Canis lupus familiaris: one gene and its partners. The protein of the gene in region 1 interacts with the protein of each later gene in a biochemical or structural test. Links are inferred from orthologs where the notes say so. Each region holds a gene or a part of one and is shown on either strand. Other genes may lie near its edges. The genes, in order: MYOG, SRF and CSRP3.

Region 1 (7,363 bases):
GTGAAGCCTAAAGCGTTCATTTTAGGAAAGGCCCAGGGCGTTGGTGACAATTTATTCTGTGCAAACAATGAATGAGGGTAGGCTTCCGTGTGGCCAATTTGCCGGTCACACCTGTGAGGTGCCAGCAACTTGTCGCTCTGGTGGGCGGCTTACAGACTTTTTAAAAAATTAATTAATTAATTAATTTATTTATTTATTTATTTATTTATTTATCTATTTATTTTGCCGCTTACAGACTTAAAGGCCAAAGGAGAAATAAGAAGAAATGGGTAGACAGTCGCCTCCCTCCCCCGCCAATGGTCGGGGACCGTGGACCTGAGGGCCACGCTGAGGACGGCCCGCGCTTACCGAGGAGGAGTATGAGCCCTCGTTTCCACTTGACGCAACAAGAACCATCAACGGGAGAAGCAGGCCCAGGCTCCCGAGCCTATCAGCTGCGTGGTGGAGAGGACACGCGGGTCCTGGGCTCCCCCGAGCCCTCCGGTGAGAACCAGGGCACGGCAGGTGGAGGGATCGTATCCCCCCAGGAGCTGGGCAGATGCCAGGGCAGCGGAGGGGAGCTTGAGGGGAGCCGGGCCCGTGGCACATGCAGTGTTGGCAGCAGCCATTGGGGGGTGAATGTGATCTGCACCAGCTCGCGGCTCTGCTCGGCTCCGAGGGCAGCGAGCCAGGGTGCTCCATCGTGCACAGGACGCGGGTGTCCTCCTGTCCTTCCAAGAAGACGGGGGACTGTAAACCCAATGACACAAGCTCAAGGAGAAGCTCCCACCATGGGGCAGATGGACGCACAGGGCCCGGCTGGTTGATGGACGCACAGAGGCCCGGGTTCGGGGGCCCGGCGGGAGGTAAAACTGGCTCCCGTCCACCATCGGGGGCCCCGAAGAATTGAGTGGGGGCCGGACCGTGTCACGCTCTGGATCCCCAGACTCCTTAATGATTCTCAAACTTATAATTTGCAATAAATCAGACAAATTCAGCCTAAAGCAGTTGGAGTTAGTAAGACTTTCATAGACGTGCGCAGTCCATTCAGCCTCAGCTTGTATTCTCACTCCCCGCCCTCCCCCACCTCCTCCCTTCGGCCAGTCATTGGAAGGAAGCGGCGCATGAACACAAGCCCAGCCTCCCTCCCTTTGACTGTCCTTTGGGGCCCTGCCCCTGCACCCATGACCGCGTCCATCCTCCAGCCGTGGGCAGGGGCCTGGCAGGATGCAGAGAGGAAAGACTGGGTGGCCTGCACGGACGTGACGGCGTCTGACCCCAATCAATCACACCGACCTATTCACCTCCCCCCTGCAGGGCTCCTGGACCCTCAGGCCAGAGGAGAGGCAGGGGTGAGGGACGGGAGACCCACAAATTCCCATCCATCACTCTGCAAGCTGGCTGTGGGATGAGAGCTGGGCACAGGGCATGCCCATGGGTGGAAGGGAACGGGTCCTGGGGTTTAAGGTGGAGCTCATATACCCGGTGCACGGTCTACGGTCTAGTGTCCACGAACCAGGGGGGCCCCCAGTGCCGGCCGGGCCCTTCTCCAGGTCTCGAGGCGTCCATGGGTCTGGCCTTCACCCACCCCGTGGGCCACACCCAGTGGCCTTTGTAAGGAGCCGGGCTCCCAGCAGCTGGTGGGACCAGCAAAGTGCTGCCTCAGCTGCTCTCAGAGCCCCACCAGGTGCAGGCCCTGGGAGTTCCCCACCCTGGGGCTGTGTCTACACCATCGAGGGGAACGGCCGGGCTGGCGGGCACCACCCCCCGACATCAACACAGGACGCTCTCCTAGCACCCAGTCTTTATTCATTTTTTAAAAAAGAAATCCAAATAAGTTAGCAAAAAAAATTACAAAACAATGTCAAAACCACACGATGCTTAGTTAAGAAAGGAAATCACCCAAGACCCCTGCCCCCCTCCCTGCCTGTCCCTGGCAACTCGTACGCAGGAGACCTTGGTCAGATGGCAGCATCGCAAACACAAGACATGAAACCACTGGAAGTTTCCCAGGATTCACTGCAAAGCTTGCCCCACCCCACCCCCCCGGGACCCAGGAGCAGGATCGTCCCCCTCCCTTGTCTCCCAGTGCAGGGCAGGCCCAGCCCAGCCGCTGGCATCGGGAGGGACAAGCGCGGGAGGCGCACAGCTCGTCCTGGTCAGGACCAGCTCGCCTCTCGCAGTCTCTATCGAGGGAGGAGGTGGAGCATCAGGAACAAAGGGGAGCTCCTGAGTCTGGCCCCTGACCTGGGGCACACACGGGGCACACGAGGGGCCCTCTGGTCCCTGCTTATCTCCCTGGAGACAGGCTGCTCCTTGCCCTCAGGAGTCAGCTGGGAGAGCGGCCACCCCTCTGGGGGGACGGTGACTTGGCCTTATATGGATGGGGGGGGGAGACTGGCGCTTGGCAGCCCCGGGCTGGCTCTCTGGCATCAGGACAGCCCGGCTTAGGAAGGCGTCTGCGGCCAGCGGGGGGTAGGGGGGGACGCTCACGGGCGCCCTCAGTTGGGCATGGCTTCATCCGGAAAGGCCGCAGAGACGTCTTCCACCGTGATGCTGTCCACGATGGACGTGAGAGAGTGCAGGTTGTGGGCGTCCGAGGGGTCGGTGGCGAGCAAGTGGTCTGCGGGGAGACGGGAGGGTGTTACCCGGGGGTGACGGGGCCCTCGGAGTGGCATGGGTGCTCCAGGATGGTGGCTGGGTGGGAGCCGGGGCTCCTGCTCCCCAGGCCCTGCCTTTCCCGGGCCTGCAGGGAGGGGGTGCGGGTGTGCGTGTACGTCCGTGTGCCTGCTGAGCACCCAACCCCCCTCCCCCGCCCGTGACCTCCCCGCTGGTGTGAGTGGAGCCGCCTGTGCACCCTGGGGACCGCCGGGCGCGGAGGGGCAGGAGGCCTGGCCTGCTCCCCGGCTCCCCGGCTCCTGGGCCTCGGGAGGCAGCCTCGGCAGGGAGAGGCCTGGGGCGGGAAGTGAGGCAGAGGCCTGGGCTGAGGGGTGCGGGGCTCACTCACCCCCGGGGCTGGGGCCGAACTCCAGGGTGCTGCCCCACTCGGGGCTGCAGGAGGCACTGTGGGAGCTGCAGTCACTGGGCACCTGCAGGACGCGAAGCCCGAGGTCAGAGCGCGGCCACTGCTGGCGTCCCTCCGTCCCTCTGTCGCCGCCGCGGGGTGGGGGGTGGGCCCCAGGGCCTCGTCGGAGACTGTGCCCCCGCTGGCCACACGCCCCCTGCCTCCGGGCCTTTCCTGCCCCCCGTCTCTGGCCGTGGCCCTGTCCTCCCAGGCCACCCAGCCGAAGGGGTCCCTGGTTTTCCGGAGCCTCAGAGGTGAGGGACGCGGCTGCAGCAAGCGGGGCGCTGGGCCACACGCCCCCTTCACCCTCGCCCCCACCCAGGCCGGCTCCGGACTCACCCTCGCCTCCCTCCTGACGCCCGCCCCCCCCCCCGCCTCCAGGTCCCCCCGCCGCCCCCAGCTTGGCCTGAAGGACAAAGGGACACGGGTTAGCTGGGCAGCCCGGCTCTGCCGAGGGGCCCCCGCCGTGTCTAGGCCCCCCCGGCGCCTGCTGCAGCATCGCCCCCCCCCCGGCCCCGCGCGGGCACCGGCCTCCCACCCCCCCGGGGCAGCTGCGAGGGACCAGCAGCCACTCACCCCCGGCTGGGGCCCGCCCCCGCCCCGGTAGCGGAGGTCCCGCTCCTCCTGGTTGAGGGAGCTGAGCAGGGCCTGCAGGCGCTCGATGTACTGGATGGCGCTGCGCAGGATCTCCACCTTGGGCAGCCGCTGGTTGGGGTTGAGCAGGGTGCTCCTCTTCAGGGCCTCGAAGGCCTCGTTCACTTTCTTGAGCCTGCGCTTTTCCCTCAGCGTGGCCGCGCGCCGCCGGTCCACCGACACCGACTTCCTCTTACACACCTTGCACGCCCACGGCAGGCACTGGCCCAGGCAGTGCTCGGGGGTCCCCAACCCCTTGTCTTCGAGGGGCCCCCGGGCCTCGGGGCTCAGGCTGAGCTCAGTCCGCTCGTAGCCCGGCGGCTCGAAGGCCTGCAGGTGGACTGGCAGGTAGCTCTCCCCGTCATAGAAGTGGGGCTCCTGGTAGAAGTAGGGGGACGTCTCATAGAGCTCCATGGGGTCGGAAAGGACCTGCTCCTGCCACCGGCCCCCAAGCTCCTACAGCCCCTCACGCCAACTGCTGGGTGCCATTTAAACCCTCCCCGCTGGCATGGAACCAGAGATAAATATAGCCGATGCCGCAGAAACCTGAGCCCCCCCTAAGCTGTTGCTGCACATCAAGACGTTTACAGTGGATTAGATGTGATTCCCCTGCCCTCTCCCCAGCCCCCGCCCGGCCAGCCCGCCTGCCCCGGCCCGGGCGGCTCCTGTGCACCGGGAGGGAGGCCGTTGCTGTAATTCGATTAGTTTTCATTTCTCTGCGGCCCCCAGGAGGCAGGGGAGGTGGGGGAGGACACACGCTCCCCTCTCATCTGCTCCTTTCAATTACTCGGGGCTGGGCGGCCCGCCTGCCCCGTCCCTGCCAGCCCCAGAGAAGTGGGGTGGGGGCAAGGGGAGGGCACAAGGGGCACGGGGTCGGCTGGAGGGGGCCTGAGGAGTCAGCGGGCACAGCCCTGGCCCAGGCCCCAGCAGTCAGCAGCAGGAGAGGGCTTCAGATTTGGGGCTCGGGGGGCTCGGTGTCCAGGGATTAGAGGGAACCCGCAGACGCAAGTGGGTTTCCAAAGCGGCCTGGACATCTAACAACCTCAGGTCTCCGGCGAGGGCGGAAGTGGAGGCAGGAAGGACTCCCCGGTGTTTGGGCGGGGACCTTAGGGGCTTCCCTTCCACGCGGCTGGTGGGGGGCAAAGCAACATCAGGACTTACAGGCTACCCCGCCCCCTCCCCACCGAGTGAACCTTGTCTTCCCCGTCTGTCCCTCTGGCACAGGGCGGCCTTTTGGGTTTTGGGCGGCAATGTGCCCCCTTCTTCATTCTTTGGTCCCACTCTTTTCCCTAGAAACTCTTGAACTAAGTCTGATCCCCCCTCCACTTGACATCTGAGATTGAGGCTAGAAGTTCCAACCAGGGTAAGGACAGTACGGGGAGGAGGAATGGCGCTGGGGACTCAGAGACGACCCCCCGGGGGAGGTGGGACCCAGTGGAGCCCGAGGGACCCGGCTTCCCTGCCGCTCACGGTCCATGGTGAGGAGCCAGGAAAAGGCTGGCGTCTGTCTGGGGCAGGGAACAGAGATGAGGCGGGGCTGCCACTGGGCACTGCAAACCCCCATGCATGTTGAAGGGGGATCGGGGAGGTCTTCACTGGGTTCTTGGCCTTCCCAGGGCGGCCGCTCGGGGGCTCTGGGTTCCAACCACACTTTGGCCAGCTAGGCTGAAGGAGGATTGCTGTTTCTAACACGCATCCCGCCAAGCAAGGGAAAAAGAAAAACCTTGCCTCAGTTTACACTCCATCCCTATGAGCCCCGAGAGAAGAAGGGATGTTGAAGTTACTATGGAAACGGACACATTGCATCGTTTCGTGCTTCTGGGATACAATCTGCCTTGCCCCTCGGCGGTGCGTTCGCACCCTCTAAAAAAGGAAGCAGGGAAGCTGGGCTTGTGATTTCTAGGATCTTTACTCTCTAGTTGGCGAGCGTGGACTCCGACACGCGGATGGTGAATCGCAGTGTAAGAGGGAGCTGTTTTAACGCAGCAGGAAGCATGGGGGCCGGGATCGATGACAAACGAGTGGGCTCGCCAACCGGGCGCTTCAGTCGAGAAAGTCATAACTGCCGAAGTCGGGGTCTCTGTGGAAGGCGGAGGCTTGCAGGGGAGCGGGCAGCCGGGCTGGACAGCAGGTGGGATTTCGGGGGAGGGAGCGGAGGGGCGGGGGCTCAGGGAGAGGGTTTGGACGGCCCGGGGTCCCGACGGGTCTGTGAAGGTGGGAGGGGGCCCACCGGGCTCGGCGGGGCTTGACGCTGCACAGAGAGCTCGCTGCCCTCATCCCGGGGCGAGGGTCGGAGCAGCCCGGTCAGCGGGAGGCTGGGCGCCGCCAGGAGGGTGCACGTCAGCTGGCAGGGGTGTGGCGCGGCGAGCGGCGGAGCGTGATGGGAAGACACTCACTGTCATCGCGGTAATGCGAGGGCACCCTACCGTAACCCAGACGTAACCCTGAGAAAGCATTTGTCGGCCTCCTCCTTCCCGGGTAGACCCAGTTTCCCAGGAGCCCCTCCCTGCCAGTCCCTGGGGTTGGGTCCAGTCCTCCTGCCATCAGGCCGGGCTGTGAGTGTGGCCTCGTGCGTGTGTAATGTTCGCTTCGAAAGAAAGCTGAGGGCAGGGCTGGGAGGCTGGGGCCATCTCACGTGTCTGGGTTTCATGAAATCCCCGTCCGTCCATGTGTTTGTGTATCTCTGTCCGAGTGAGTGGCCCGAGGCCTGCATCCGGGCGCAGCTGTGGGGCATGGAGCCTCCCAGGAGGGAGGGCATCCCTGACCTCGAAGCCCTCGTGGGGGGCTTGCTCCTCCACCGGCCGTGTTCCTCTTTCCTGGCTGAAGCGCAGCGCAGCGCAGGGCGCCTAGGGCTTTGGCCTCCCTCCCCTGCACAGTCGTCCGCCCCACGCAGGCTGCCCTCTGATGGATGGGAACACATTGGTGCCAAGCACAGAACAGCCTTTGTGCTCCGCCACCAGCCGTGATCCATCAGCTCTAACCTGACAGCGGGGCGTCGGGCCCTAATCCCCACCCCTGCCGGCTTGGGCACACGGGGCCCCTGCCGGACCTGAGCCTCCCCTAGCCGTCCTGCTCCCTCCAGAGGAAGCCCTTGCCCGGTTGTGCTCCAGCCCCGCTGGCTGCTCCGTCTCCACTCCATTTGGTCCATTCGCATGCTGGGCTGAGCTCATTTGCATGGCGGTCCTTGGGTTTCAAAATGCCCCAAACCCCCTTCGCTGCCTGGTCTGCCCTTCCTTCCACCTTGGCTACACACCCAGCCCTCCTCCCTGACTCCTAGTCTTTTCCTGTTCTGCCACCTCACAGGTGGGCTGACCCGGGCCACCACATCACTTGGCCAACATCAAAGCAAGTTTCCCCGTCTGGAGTCTCAAGTGTCTGGCAATGGAGAAGCAAAAAGAACAGTCTGGAAAGGGTGCGGGCCTCTGGGTTCTCCACACAGGCCCCACCTTTTGTTTTCTTATCCTGGGTCTCTGGGTGTTGTAGATGAGAACTAGGTGGGGCTTGGGTGGCAGCAATGTGTGCACGTGTCAAGGACCTAGACGCATGTGCATGTGGCGAACAAATCAGCTTATTTGAGGATTTGGGGAGCAGTAGCCTGGCAGCAGGGTGAGGGCCCATCACAGGACCGGAGGATGTCAGAGCTGGGGGGCAGCCCAAGGGTTACTGGTCCACCTTCCCTCTACACAC
Region 2 (6,576 bases), on another chromosome or scaffold:
CATTTGGTCTCCCTCTTCCCTCTCCCTTGCGACAGCCCTAGAGGGCAAAAAGAGACCCAGGGCTGCAGGTCACCCTGCCCACCCCGTTGGGGCATGGCCTGAGGGCCCCTCCCCCGGTTTTCTCCTGGCAACAACCCAGGACCGGGCAGTCCCAGAATCTCCCCTACACACTGGCGGGGCCCCGAGCTCATGGGGTGGTTCCGTCCCCAGAGGCCCAGTCAGTTCCGGGGAGCCCCAGGGCTCCCCAGGGAAGGGGAGCTTGGGCAGGGAGGGGGACGAGAAACACGCCATAAAAAAAAGTTTAAATATTTTAAAAATATATATTTATAGATTTGTTTTCACTTCGTCTCCTCAAATAAAAAGTTCAAAATCAACTTTTAAGTAAAGCAGCTGGGGGGAGAGGGGGAAGACAGGGTGAGAGGGAACACTGGCAGTTCCCTCCGACCCAGGAGTTCCTGGAGTCCCAAGGGGACCGGCAGGGCAGGGCAGGTGGCCCCAGGAACCTGCTCTGTGCACAGGCCCAGCTCTCAGGAGCTACAGGGACAATAGGGCATCCTGTGAGGGAAGAAGCCCCATCTCCCCAGGTGGCTCCCTGAGGGGCACGGATAGGGCTCTTGTCACCCAGCCTGTGACAGACACGGTGCTGACAGCAGGTCAGCAAGGAGGCTGGGAGAGGACCCCCACTGCTTCCTCGGGGGAACACGGTGCCTAGTCCCACAGAGGCCTGTGTGTGGGAAGGTGGGGCACGGTCCCATTGGATAAGCTAATACTCATGGCAAACATGGAGCCAAGCTGGCTAGGGGAGTCTGAGGAGGGAGGACAGCCCCACCATCAACAGAAAATGGGAGGTGGAGCCAGAAGGAGGGGAGGGGGAGGGAGGATGGGGTGGAGGGCAGGCTGGCCCATTTCTTTGGCTGGAGTGAGAGGGCTCAGTCCTGTGGCTGCCCACTCCTCCTCCCTGCCTCCCTCCTGCGGCCCGTCAACGTGTGTGTAAAGAAAACGTGAAAAGGCAACAATAAATAAGTGGTGCCATCCCTTGGGCCATCTGTCCAGGGTGGCAGGGCGGATCAGTCACTCTTGGTGCTGTGGGCGGCGTCCAGGTTCACCACCTGTAACTCGGTGAGGTTGCTGCTGCTCCCAGCCTGCTGCCCTATCACAGCCATCTGGAGGGAAGGGGGTGTGTAAGGAAAAGGAGGGCAGGAACTGACCAGCCAGCTCAAGCTTCCCCCTGCTGGCCTGCCTGTCCACCACGAGCCTGACTGGGAAAACAGATGGGCCTCCTGGCTTAGGGAATCTTGGCTTAGACCAATGGGTAAATGAAATCCCCAAAGTCAAGAGAAGGAAATGGCTGGGTTGGCTGAGGTGAGGTGAAGGGTGCCCCCACACCTACCTGGTGAAGCTGAACTGCAGAAACAGGGATCTGCACTGTCCCAGATGGTGCTGTCAGGAACACCTGGGGAACACCACCTGCATTGGGAAACCACAGGAGATACTCAAACTGCTTGCTCAAGAGAAACTTCCAGATACTAGTTGGAATGGAATGCATGAGTATCCTAGTGGACAGCAATGGGTGTGGGAATGTGTGTGCAAGCATCCGTGTGTGTGTGTGTGTGTGTAGTTTTATGTGTGGGCATCCTTGTTTGGGTATGGGTATATGAGTGTATATATCTATGTGTGTATGTGGGGGGCCATTTGGATATGTGGGTATGTGAGGGAGGAGGACATGGTCCCCCTTAGCCCCAGCCCACCACTCACCTTGCTCCTGGACCTGGCTGTGGGACACCTGCATGGTGGACGGCGCCTGGGGGAAGGCATTGAGCACGGTGAGGCTGCCGTCAGCCAAGCCCGAGGTGGGTGCATACATCACCGCATGGGGACTAGGGTACATCATGTGGCCACCCACAGTTGTGGGCACAGATGACGTCATGATGGTGGCAGGCAATGTCACTGGCAAACACAGACACACATTAGGGAGGTTGACACCGGTCCCTACTGATCTCCCCCATCCCACCTCCAGGAGCTCCAGGGCTCCGGAGTCCTCCTGCCATTGCCCAGGTCAGAAGCTTGATAAGACTTGTTCCTCTGATCCCTGTCATCGGCTAAGAAAAGCCTTATTTTTGTTTAAATACCAACCTTCTGTTTGAGCACCAACCTTTAATTGTATCCTATCACACTGTACTATTCAACTGTCTATCTCTCCAATTCTTCGTTCCAAGACCATAAGGTCCTGGGAGAAACAAGAATTGCAATGACTGACCCACTCCAAGGAAACTCAGATACTCCCCTTTGAGGAGGTTCCATTATCCCATTTTTTATTTCTCACCGCTCCTCTCTCTTCCTTTTTTCTTTTTTCTCCCTCTTCCTAAACGTGTGGCTAACAAATTCATCTTTTCAACATCAAAGGTTAATATGCATAAGATCACCTGGGATCTTATTAAAATGCAGATTCTGATTCAGTAGGTTTGGGGATAAAGCTTATGAGTCTACGTTTCTATCAAGCTCCCAGGTGATGCTACTTCTCTGTCCATAGACCATATCTTGTGTAACAAGGTTGTCAATAACAAGAACTTAAAAATAATTTAATTTTGAAAGTGTTTCATCATTTCTGAAATGACTAGAGACACTGAGCAGAATTATAGCTACTCAAAACCTAGAATACCCTCCCACAAGGAGACAAATGCTCTATAAATCTTTCCTGATAATTAAGCAAACATGTGTCCTTGGGAAGTAACTTCTCCTTTCTGGGCCTCCAGCTTTTTATCTGAATGAGAAGAAGGGTGGCTCCGATGGTCCCTAATTTCTTCCTGAAATCCAAAGCCCTACTGCAGGGCAGGATCCCAAACCCAGCCATCCTCACTTGACTTTCCCATAAGGATTAAGATAAAGGTTAAGCCAAAAGCCTCCATCTCCACATTAAGAAATTCTCTGACCTTAGTTATGGGAGGGGTATTGCTGGGCACCTGCTCCTAGGCCTCATGAAGGACGAAGGGCAGGGAGAAGAGAGCTTCAAGCTATACCTGTCCCGCTGGAGGAGGTCTGCGTGAGGTCTGTGCTGCTGTCGCGAGAGGGAGACGCTTGCTGTGGGGCCTGGTGCACCTGAATGGCCTGCACTGGGACCTGCTGGGCCACTGCCCCTCCTATAAGACACAGAGACTTACTCATGCTGTCCCACCCGGCCACCATTGGCACCCACAAACACCCCAGGCCCAAGGTCTGGCATGCTGCTCCCTAACTCCCATAGTTTCCTGGGGGCTAAAGAGGCTTTTCATGTCCTGAATCTTGTCTTCTTGGGTTTCTGCACTCTGCACTGGCCCCTCCCACCTCCTTCCACCCCTAGGCCTTGCCTCTGCCTCCTTGGTTGATATAGGAGCCGGCACCGAACCATCAAGAACATGACCTGTCCTCCAATCAAGGTAGGGAAGTGGTAGAATGTCTACTGTCCCTGTGGCAGGGGGACACAGGGCTAGGCTGGCTAGACAAGGCCAGAGGGTATGGTTGAAACTTATTGACAAGGACAGTAGGGGTCCCAGTGGGGAAGGGCATGCCTCCCAGTGGGACCCAAGTGGCTTCTCTCAGGTTCTGGCTGGCCCCTGTCCACCCTCCTTCTGAGCAAGGAAAGAGGTTCCCCTTGTGCCAGCCCTAAACCCACTCTTGGCATGCTCATTCTGCCCCTTGTGACTCACCAGGCATGAGGGTAAAGCTGGTAGGCAGCTGCATGAGGCCCCCAGAGGAGACAGGGCCACTGCCTGTACTCTTCAGCACAGTCCCGTTGGCACTGCTGACAGCGCTGGGGCTGACGCTAGCAGACACTGGTGCCAGGTAGTTCGTGATGGGGAAGGAGGGGCCGCTGCTGACTTGCATGGTGGTAGAGGTGCTGGGTGCTGTTTGGATGGTGGAGGTGGTACCCGGCAGGTTGGTGACCGTGAACGCCTGTTTCAGTGTGTCCTACACCCAGAGTAAAGACACAGCAGTGAGCCTCTACCAGACTCTGCCCCTGCAGCTTTGTGTGACTGACAGCCCAGACTGGAACCAGTGTGCTTGGGTTCAAACCCCAGCTCTGCCATTTACCTGCTGTCTGACCCCGGGCAAGTTACTGAGCTGCAGAGCTTCAATTTTCTGTCCATAAAAGAAGACTTACCGCATAGGTGTTTTTAAGATAAATAGGTGAATATAAATAAAGTGCCTGACACCTAAAAAAAAGTAATATGTATTTGCTGCTCTTATGATGATGATGATGTCATCATCATAATTTCCTGAATTCTGTGTCCCAATGGACTATGAAAATCACATTGGCTGCGGAATCAGGACACAGGGGTCTATTCCCAGCTCTGGTACTGACCATCTATGTGATCCTGGGGAAATCACTTCCTCTTTCTGAGCCTCAGTTTTCCTGGGGGGGAAATGAAGGGGACTAGGCTACTATGTCCTCTTTAAAAACATCCTTCTAGCTCTGACTTGCTAGGTTTCTGAGATACGGACGGACGAGAGTTTTTCAGGGAACTTAGGGTTTCAGAGAGATCTTGGGTGTTTGGCAATTAAGCACTCATGTCAAATTCTTAAGATTTAAACTACCAAAGGAATTAATTCCTCCAGCAAAATTCCCTGAGAATAAACGAGCCCTACTGCTTAAAGAGTTTGCAACTACAGATGATATGCCGGAAAGAGGGGGAAAACCTGGAGCACTGACTCTTCCCTCGGTGAGCCTTTGTTCTTAGAAGGGGAAGGAGGAAGCCACGAGCTGAGAACCAAGCCCAGAGAACTGAGGGGGTTCAAATCCTGGGGGTGGGTCAGCGCGGGATGTTTGCTAGGCAGCCGAGTTCGAAGGCCCTGATTGGTGAAGGCGTTGCTAAGGCAAACAGTGCCGCTTCTTCCGATTGGCCAGTTAGTGAAGGGGCACCCGGAAGGTGGAGCTCCCTAGAGAAGCAACGGAGGAAGCCCCGCCCCCTCTCCTTACCGGGAAAAGGAAGGGGAAGGCGTAACTAGGGCCGGCATCCCTAGCAGCCGCGAATACACTCCCTAAACGTGCCCAGGCCCGGACATCCTGAAGAGGTAGGCGGCTGGCTAGTTAGGTAGTCTCCAGCCCAGTCAACCAGCCCGCCTCCCGACAGTGCTGGGTTCCCAGGACCCTGGGGCCCACGAGTGCTTCCTTCCTACTCCCTGGCAACCCAGCCTGCTGCGAGGGCAGGGCTAAGCTACGCCCCCGCCCCCAGCAGGGAGACAGCTGGCGGGAGGAATGCAAGGGCCCTGCCAGGCGGGCGGGCTGCAGGCGGGAGGCCGGCCTGGAGCCGGAGCCGGCCTTATAAGGGCACGGAGGCCGCCCGCTTATCTAGGGGGCCGGCCTCCTGTCAGGATGGCGAGGATGGACACCTGTCCCCTAGGATGAGGGGCACTAACCCGGCTCCGTTCCACATTAGTGGGCACCTAACCTGAGTGAGGGAGAGAGGTACCCCCTCCCCTCTCTGCCGGTGAAGCCCCTCCCCTTCCTTCCCCTCAGATAGGCGACCCAAACACACCTTGGTCTCCCCACTGCTGTCGGACTCCGACACCTGGTAGGTGAGGTCTGTCTCTTCAAAGCCCGTGGCACTCATTCTCTGGTCTGTGGTGGGGTCTGAGCGGGGTGGAGAGTCTGGCGAGTTGAGGCAGGTCTGAATCAGTGCCTTGCCAGTCTCACTGGTGATCATGGGCTGCAGTTTGCGGGTGGCAAAGGTATACACATGGCCTGTTTCACTGGCCACCAGCAACAGCACCTGTGTCCCTGTCAGCGTGGACAGCTCATAGGCCTGGGGAGTAGGGGGAAGGAGATGGGTAGATCAGCCAAACTTTTTCTACCTTCCTTGGGAAGTAGGGAAGAGAGGAAATACATAGTGATCTCAAGCCTCTGCTCCCCACCCAGAGACCTTCCTCTCCAGTGACTGGGGCAGGGGGAGGTATCTATCAAGATATCTGAAAGAGAGTTGGAGAGCAGAGAAACTACCCCATGCTACTCCTTTGAGAAGCAGCCACTGACCTGCAGATACCCCAAGCAAACACAGACCCCTAGTGACAGAATGTATAATCTCAGAGGAAACGGAAGGGCCCAGGTAGCTGCTCCTGAATACAGCTTGGTGCCAGGAGTCTCACAGAGAGGGCTCCCACCCACCCACTCTTCACTGTCATAGGAACCAGACAGAATGAAGTTGCTATATCACTGGAAGTCCCGTAAGACATTAGGGATAAGGGGTCACATTAGTGCTAAACTGTCCTCATGTTTCTTCCCAGAAACTGCACAGGTCCTAACCTGTTGCCATTTTGTCCTCATGCCCTATCATACTGTGCTACCAGCTTTTTTCTTTCCTTGTCCTGATGCAACAGTGTCTGGAGTGATGGGAGATGGGAGCTAGGTTAGCAGCTACTACCCTGCCATGAACCCAGGGAAGGGACCTACAAAGGTGGCCCCACAGATGGCATCCTTACTCCCAGAAAAGTTCCACAACCCACCTTGGAAGCAGCTCTGGTTTCTATATGGGACAAAAATAAACACCAGCCAATGTCCCCAGGGTTCTAGCTTCTTGTTTCCCAGTTCATCTGCTTCCATCC
Region 3 (7,170 bases), on another chromosome or scaffold:
AAAACCGGCAAAGCTCTCTGAACTTCAGGAAACAGTCTCTAAAATGGGCTTAAGAGTCTCATCTGTTCCACTACAGCTGGGAGGCTTGTAACACTTCAAGTACATCAAATCACTTTGTAAACGGTTGAGTATTATAAAATGTGAGAGCTAATCAGATCTGCAATAACCATGAACTGTCACATATCGATCTGAACTTTTAAAAGAATAACCGTGCTGTGCATCTTGCCACCATCTTCCTATGCCAGCACTCACTGTTTTTTTTTGTTGCTTATCAACTGTGGAGCTGAGAGGTGACACCTTAGGGCAAAAGTGGGTGGGGGGAGATAAAATGGGCACTTAGTGACTCAGTTTCTTCTTTGTAGGGCTCATTAAAGAATGTGGCCTTGACCTTAGGTCGTCAAGACGTTGTGCAGAGACTATTAGTGACAATGCCATTTTCAACTCAGTGTTGGTTCGTGTGGTCATCCTATTAGATGCCTGCTTCTACACAGCGAGTTGAATTGTCTACACTGGCCAAGGCCAAGATTTTGTATCATAACAGCATATATCTGGAATGCAAGGTATAGTCATTACCAATCTAATAATGTTATTATCGGAGCTGAAGCATGTGGAGTCCCTCGGGCCAGGCACTGAGCTTTATCTCATTCCATCTTCACAGACCTTGAGGGTAGGCACTATCACAAACATTGCCTTTTGTTAACTTTTGGGGAAATGGAGTCTTGGGGAAATTATGTTGCCCACGCTCACGTGGCTAGATTGGATTTTAGGTCTTTGACTCCAAAGCTGTGTTCTTATATTAAGATTAGGTACTATTTATCTATTTATGGTTTACTATGTGTTAGTTGCTTTGTACGTACCATCTGTAATACAACAGCCCCACAGAGCAAAGCTTGTCATCTCCATTTTGCAGATGAGAAAACTGAGACTCAGAGGACTTGAGCGACTTGCCTGAGATCACACAGCTAGTAAGTGGCAGAGCCGCAATTCAGACCCAAGTGAAGCTGGGTCTGTATTCCACGTCCCCATTTATAACATGCCAGGGAGGGGAGGAGAGTCAGCACCTCCATTAGCCAAACTTCCTAGTTGATGAGAACTGGGATCTGACTGACCCCGTTGTCTCTCCATGGGACAGAGAGTACTCATGGGCGGGAGTATCAGGGAGCCTGAATTTAATTCAGTAAAATAAGAGCCTCTGTAAGAATCATTGCCATTTAGACACGCAAAGAGCTCCTTTGAGGCTGGAGAGTTCCCTTTCACTCTTGACTTGAGCTCAGCTGGGGATGGTTGTCCATGTGACTGCAACGTTGTGAAGGCCCTTCAAGGATCCTTTGAGCCCGGAGACAGATGTCGGTGTCTGAACAGTGACTGGAGCCTCACCTTGCAGAAATGCTTTCCGGGGGCAATCCCCTCTCAAGCACTGCCTTTTCTCTACTCTCTTAATCCAGGTAGAAGAGATAGTGTGGGATCCTGGAACAGTGCGGGCTATGGAAAGAACCAGGCCAGGCTCTTTTGGACCTTGGGCAAAATGCTCAAAATGTCTGAGCCCCGCGTCCTGTCCTCATGCACAGGAGGACAGATGAGAAGGCCTGCCTTCAAAGGTTGTTTCCAGGTTAGATAAGATAATCATAATAGCTAAGGCACTGTATACACAAATGCATAATACATGGCAGGGTGTCTAATAATCTTGTTGCTTTCCTTATTACTATTATTATTTTACCTTCAGCTTTTAAATCCATTTTCTTAAAACAAGCAAAGCTTTCCTTGCTTCTTCTCTGTGGCCCTCCTGGCTCAGACGGTGAACCAACTCTGTTTCTCAGTCTTTGGCGTGTGCTGCACGGAGGAGCAGAGGCAGCAGGGAGCCAGGCCAGGGAGAGAGCTCCCCCGGGGGTGGGGGCCAGAGGTGACATGTCAGGCAAAGTCCTAAGCCTGTGCCCCAGGACAGCTGCTTCCTCGCTTTGGCAGCCCTGGTGCCTAACACCCGCTGACCTCGCTGGCGATGGGGACGGAGGAGGGAAGCAGCAAACCTGAGCAGAGTCCTCATGGCCCAGGGGGACCATGTCCTTCAGCTCCTCCATGTAGGATACTCAAGGTCAGTCAGTGGCTTTGCCCTAAACTTCTGAACAGATGTGTGAAGTCCCCTATCTATCTGGAGGCCCTTTCCCAAAGTCCGGGAAGCCTAGGCTGCTTATTCCCAGCACAGTACTAAGCCCGAGTATTGACCCCATCCCCCTTTAAGACTCAGGGTAGAGACACCTGCCCATTGCACTATAGCTGTGATACACGGATTAAATCACACCATTTCTGAAATTATCTCTACAGTGTGGCCGAGTTTTACTTGGTTCTCTTTTGGCCCTTGCAACGTGTTTCTGAAGACCATGTTGCACCCCGATTTATCACCTGGCTCTACCATGTGACCCTGGGTAATTCCTTTGCTTCCTTGGACTTTTGCTTCTTCCTCTGAAGAGTGACCTCACAGGACTTTTTGTGGCAGTCAAATAAGTGACTACTGCTCCGCGCCTGCAAGGGCAGTAAACAACCCACAAACCACGCTCAATCCTTTCCCACGACGAGGTGCACGCTGAGGCTCAGAAAAGGCTTCACAGCCGGTGGCCCTCGTGACCGTCCCTGCTCCCCTCCTGCTTTGCCTTCGCTGTGACGAATAACTACAGCTTTTCACCCCTGAAGCCATCACATTTCTCTTCAGGCCTGAGGCCCAACCCTGGCTCCCGTGTTCCCAGACGTCTGAGCAGCAGGCCTATCACTGGAAGTCGGCCAGCCGCGGGAGTTGTGTTTCCTCGGTGTTGGATTCCCTGTCTCGGTCTTTCCTCCTGTGAAGCAACTTAATCACCTTCTAACTCCTGGGCACCTTGTTATCCACTCTGACCTCTGGGCTTCCTTCATCACACTGGTACTTAGCAGGAAACCCTCCCGCCGGCCGCAGGGCCGGGCCCCGGGGGTCTTTTCTGGAAGGCCCCCCACACTGGTACACTTTTAGGTGGCTTCACAGAGTACTTCCTATATTTTATCTCATCTGATGCTAACAGATCCCTTTGGGACGGGGGCCTTAGCCTCATTTCATTGTTCAGAGAATGGAAGCTCAGAGAAGTTCAGCGACGTCCAGAGTGGGGTTTTGAACCTTCTCAATGACAGATGCCTTTCCTTGTATTTCCTTCTTCAGATCCCCAGGATTTCTGAGTGTGTGTTCTTTCAAGATTCTGTCTCCACCTCTTTCAAGAGGATTTTGGCTATTTGCTGGCTGAGTGATCCTGCTCGCTCTTGCCTTCTCTTGCTCCCTATCTCTGCCTCCTTGTCTGTCTCCCCTTCCCCTGCACCCCCGGCCCCCCACTCCCTGCCAATACTTGGGCTCATTCTAATGATTGACTTGTTCAGAAAGGAACGGAAGCTGGAACCAAAGCTGGTAGAAGGAATCCTTTACATTCTCTGGGTAGTAAAGCAATTTTATGTACTTTGTAATGAGTTGGATGTAAGCAGCATTGAGATTTAGGTCCCAAAAGTAACTGAGGACACGGGATCTCCCTGTTTCCCCCTTCCCTGCATTAGTGCTGCCTCGCCCCCCATCCCACCGCAGCCCCAGCACAGACGATGGTCAACACACGCTCACTCAGTTGCGCTGAATTGTGCTGCAGAGAGGCAGAGTTCCTCAGGCCTGTCACCCAGCTGCTCCTCCTCGGGGATGTCACCGGCCCAGGGACGGCAACAGAAATTAGAGGTGGCGGCTCTGATCTTGGGGCGGCATCTCCACTCAGACCAGTGCTTAAAACCACTTCTCATTCTCCATCACACTCATGCCTGTCATTCAAATGCTGGGCTAAAACTCAGAGGAAACTCTGGAAATCACCCCTCACCCTCCGCGGAGAATTTTCCTCCCCTTGAGGAGAGCTTTTAATGGATTTTTCAGTGTCACTGTGTCTTTTTTGGGTCCCTTTTTGAGGGTTTTGATCAATTTTAAATTATTAGAAGCAAGCCTGTTGCTGAACATTCTTGGGATATGAAATCTATTTTATTTTATTTTTATTTATTTATTTTTTTTGAAATCTATTTTAAACCAGCAAATTGCACTGAGCATTTCCCACGTGCGAGACCGTGTGGCGAACTACAGAAATCTCCGTCCTTCACCCACACCTTTTGGAGAGCACAGTTCCTTGTGCTTTGAGCATGGGAAAGCTGGCTTCAGCTGTAGCGTATCTCTAACAACCTCTTTGTAACTGTGCCGTACTTTATAGTTTGGAAAAAAATATATATCCCGGCTTCCATCCTGAGCCTCCCAGAGGAGACCCGAGGGCAGGAAGTTTGCCGAAGTCACACATCCAGTCATTATGTGGTGGCTCTAGGACTGGTGTCACGTCTTTGGGAAACACTCCAACATGGGAATAGTCTTAGGTCCAACATAATCCCTTAGTCGTTTCTCTGTGAGGTTCCCTCAAACCCACAAATGCGAATCCCACCCTTAAGAGTTTTTTAAGCAACTAGGTCCACACCAGAATCGCACACAACTGGAGCCTCTTCACACAGAACCAGAGTGGCCACTGGCACCTGGGACATGACGCACACCCTTCCTCAATGGGACCCTTCAGAGTCCCAACTGGCCACCGAGCCAGCCCACCTCCCACGCCTACCCCGGCCCCCCCACCCCAATGTCTGCTTCGCTCCACGTACCTGCCTGTGTGGTCTCTGTCGGCTCAACTGAGTACGGGGGCTCTCATCCTCTTTAAATACATGGAGGCCGTCCCCAGCACTGGCCTGTGGAGGGCAGGGCGGGAGGGAGGCCGAGGGGAGAGGGTGAATGAGACATGAGTAACACAACTGCTATCAGAGGCTGAAAATAGCCTGTGACCAAAGCCCTGAGTTTTGTTCCCCCCTACGCCAGCTGTGAGGCCCTGAGAGAACGATATTGCTTGGGTTCTGTTTTAATTGCCAATTGCCCATGGCCTTGGGGATCGATTGGTGGAGCATGAACTTCTGATCAAGTGGTTGAAACACCAACAAGAGTGAAGAGGGATTTTTACATCTAAAATCATTTTTCCAGGCTCCTACTCCCCTGACCTTCCTGGAAATCAATGCAAGTTACCTGCAAATGAATCATGAGCCATATCTGGGAGCCCTCTGGAACTCTGAGACACAGGTCACAACACCCGTGAAGAGAACTCAGAGCTAAAAATAAGAGTGATGGGTGTCTGAAATGATACTTAGATAATCTCTTCAAAGAAACTTGGGGAAAGAAAGGTCAGCTAATCATCAGGGTCCTGGCACTTCATGGCCCGCCATCCTATGAAGAAAAGTCTTGAATTACTATGTTCATCCTCTTTTTCTACTTAAGAATTTAACATGGCAGCATGTCATATTTATGACAAATCTTGATAAGTCTCTCTGAAACCATGTTTTCTTTGGAGGCCTAATTTCCCTTTGCCTGATATGTACATATTTTTGGCTTTGATCAAACATCAAGGACACATGTGAATTATAGAATGTGATAGGTGACAAGAAGTTCGGGATTTCATAGACCAATTTTTCATATTGCCACCGAGGAAACTGAGGCACCTACCTTGCTCGGGCCAGGTTCCAGGCAGATTGGCAGGTTCTGGATCGAAATTCAGGTCATCCATCTCTCCAGCAAAGACACTTAACCACCCGCGTTGACCTGAATGTTGAGGTTAAGTGTAAGTAGTACCCAACCAAGAGGTCTATGAAATGCAGCCATATTAGCCTTTCATTACATGCCCACAAAAGCAATTGGTTGAGTAATTGAATATTTCACTGTAAAGAAGGTTGGGGTAATTTCGTAAATATGGACACAGCACAACCTCATATAGGATGTCCTTGATCTACATTTACCTGCAAAAGTATTTGTCATAGAAATGGGTAAAGGGCAAGTGCTCTAGAATGTTAAAGTTAGAGGGGACTTTAGAAGTTTTCTAAGAGAGGAGCTTGCAAACATTTGTGGGTTGGGTTTTTTTTTAGAAGAATAATACCTTTTTTCTATAGATAATCTTAAATGGAGCATCAATAATAAAGCAGATAAAAGAGAAACTTCACTGCTTGAATTAAGTAGGTGGTCTCAGGGTCACATTCACCTAGCCTTTTCCTGAATCCCCTAAAGTGGCTTCTCAACTACTTCTTTGTGGGATGCCTGGCTGGCTTAGTCTGTAGAGCATGAGATTCTTGATCTTGGAGTTGTGAGTTTGAGACCTACATTGGGTGTAGAGATTACTTAAAAATAAGATAAGTAAATAAACAAATACAAATAAAATACTTCTTTGGGCAAGGTTTAAAAGTCACAGGTGTAGCCCACCACTTTCATTTTATAAATATAGATATTAAGGTCCAAAGAAGGGATATCACTTGTTCAAAGGGATATTGCAAATTATTTACAGAGCCAGAAAATCTGGGGTTGAGTCTAATACTTCTGACCTTAAATAAAATATTTTTTAATTAGATAAATAACACTGGAATGCATTTTTACTGTGAAAGACTAAACAAGAAGGATGTATTTAGGGTAAAATGTAAAAGTGCCTTCCAATAATCCCACTCTTTTTCCTAGAGTTAATAACTGACAGTATTTTGAGTTTTACCTAATTTGAGTCATCTTTTAAAAGGAGATTTTAGCCCATTCACATTTATTGTGACTGTGGATATATATAGACTTATCCCCTTCATCTTATTTTATGTTTTATTTTATTTTCAGATTTTATTTATTTATTTGAGAGAGACAGAGATAGCAAGAGAGAGCATGGGTGGGAAGGAGAGGGAGAAGCAGGCTGCCTGTTCACAGAACTCAATCCCAGGACCCTAGGATCATGACCTTAGCCGAAGGCAGATGCTTAACTGACTGAGCCACCCAGGTGCCCCATATTTTATGTTTTATTTTTATAATATTTCTTTCTTCTGGCCTTTTATTGAATTTAATAGTTTTCTTTGTGCCATGTTTTTCTCTTATAATTTAGAAATGATAGTCTCCCTCTAATTTAAAAAACTAATGCCACGATAAATATATATATTTTATTGACATCTAGATTTATTTGGTATCTCTATTCTGTTTTTTCCATGAGATGGGAAACTTATAAGAACCTCAGCACACTCTCATTATCACCACCTCACCCTCTCCCTTCACATTGGCCTTGTACTTAGACACCTGCCCACCACATCCCGCTT

What was found.
Region 2: the proteins of MYOG (region 1) and SRF form a complex in vitro, tested with the Homo sapiens proteins (2 studies listed by BioGRID and IntAct). The link is inferred for Canis lupus familiaris from reciprocal best matches to the Homo sapiens genes MYOG and SRF.
Region 3: the proteins of MYOG (region 1) and CSRP3 form a complex in vitro, tested with the Homo sapiens proteins (2 studies listed by BioGRID and IntAct, with this or other methods). The link is inferred for Canis lupus familiaris from reciprocal best matches to the Homo sapiens genes MYOG and CSRP3.

Annotation. Positions count from the first base shown.
Region 1 is NC_049228.1:239,840-247,202, reverse strand, and holds MYOG (myogenin), read right to left. Parts: upstream 4,154-7,363; 5' UTR 4,091-4,153; coding exon 3,620-4,090; intron 3,069-3,619; coding exon 2,987-3,068; intron 2,603-2,986; coding exon 2,481-2,602; 3' UTR 1,782-2,480; downstream 1-1,781. UniProt on the Homo sapiens protein: Acts as a transcriptional activator that promotes transcription of muscle-specific target genes and plays a role in muscle differentiation, cell cycle exit and muscle atrophy.
Region 2 is NC_049233.1:11,855,146-11,861,721, reverse strand, and holds part of SRF (serum response factor), read right to left. Parts: intron 5,781-6,576; coding exon 5,514-5,780; intron 5,050-5,513; exon of another isoform or gene 4,898-5,049; intron 3,946-4,897; coding exon 3,684-3,945; intron 3,138-3,683; coding exon 3,018-3,137; intron 1,948-3,017; coding exon 1,756-1,947; intron 1,468-1,755; coding exon 1,391-1,467; intron 1,164-1,390; coding exon 1,068-1,163; 3' UTR 1-1,067. UniProt on the Homo sapiens protein: SRF is a transcription factor that binds to the serum response element (SRE), a short sequence of dyad symmetry located 300 bp to the 5' of the site of transcription initiation of some genes (such as FOS).
Region 3 is NC_049242.1:41,994,184-42,001,353, forward strand, and holds the start of CSRP3 (cysteine and glycine-rich protein 3), read right to left. Parts: upstream 4,837-7,170; 5' UTR 4,678-4,836; intron 1-4,677. UniProt on the Homo sapiens protein: Positive regulator of myogenesis. Acts as a cofactor for myogenic bHLH transcription factors such as MYOD1, and probably MYOG and MYF6.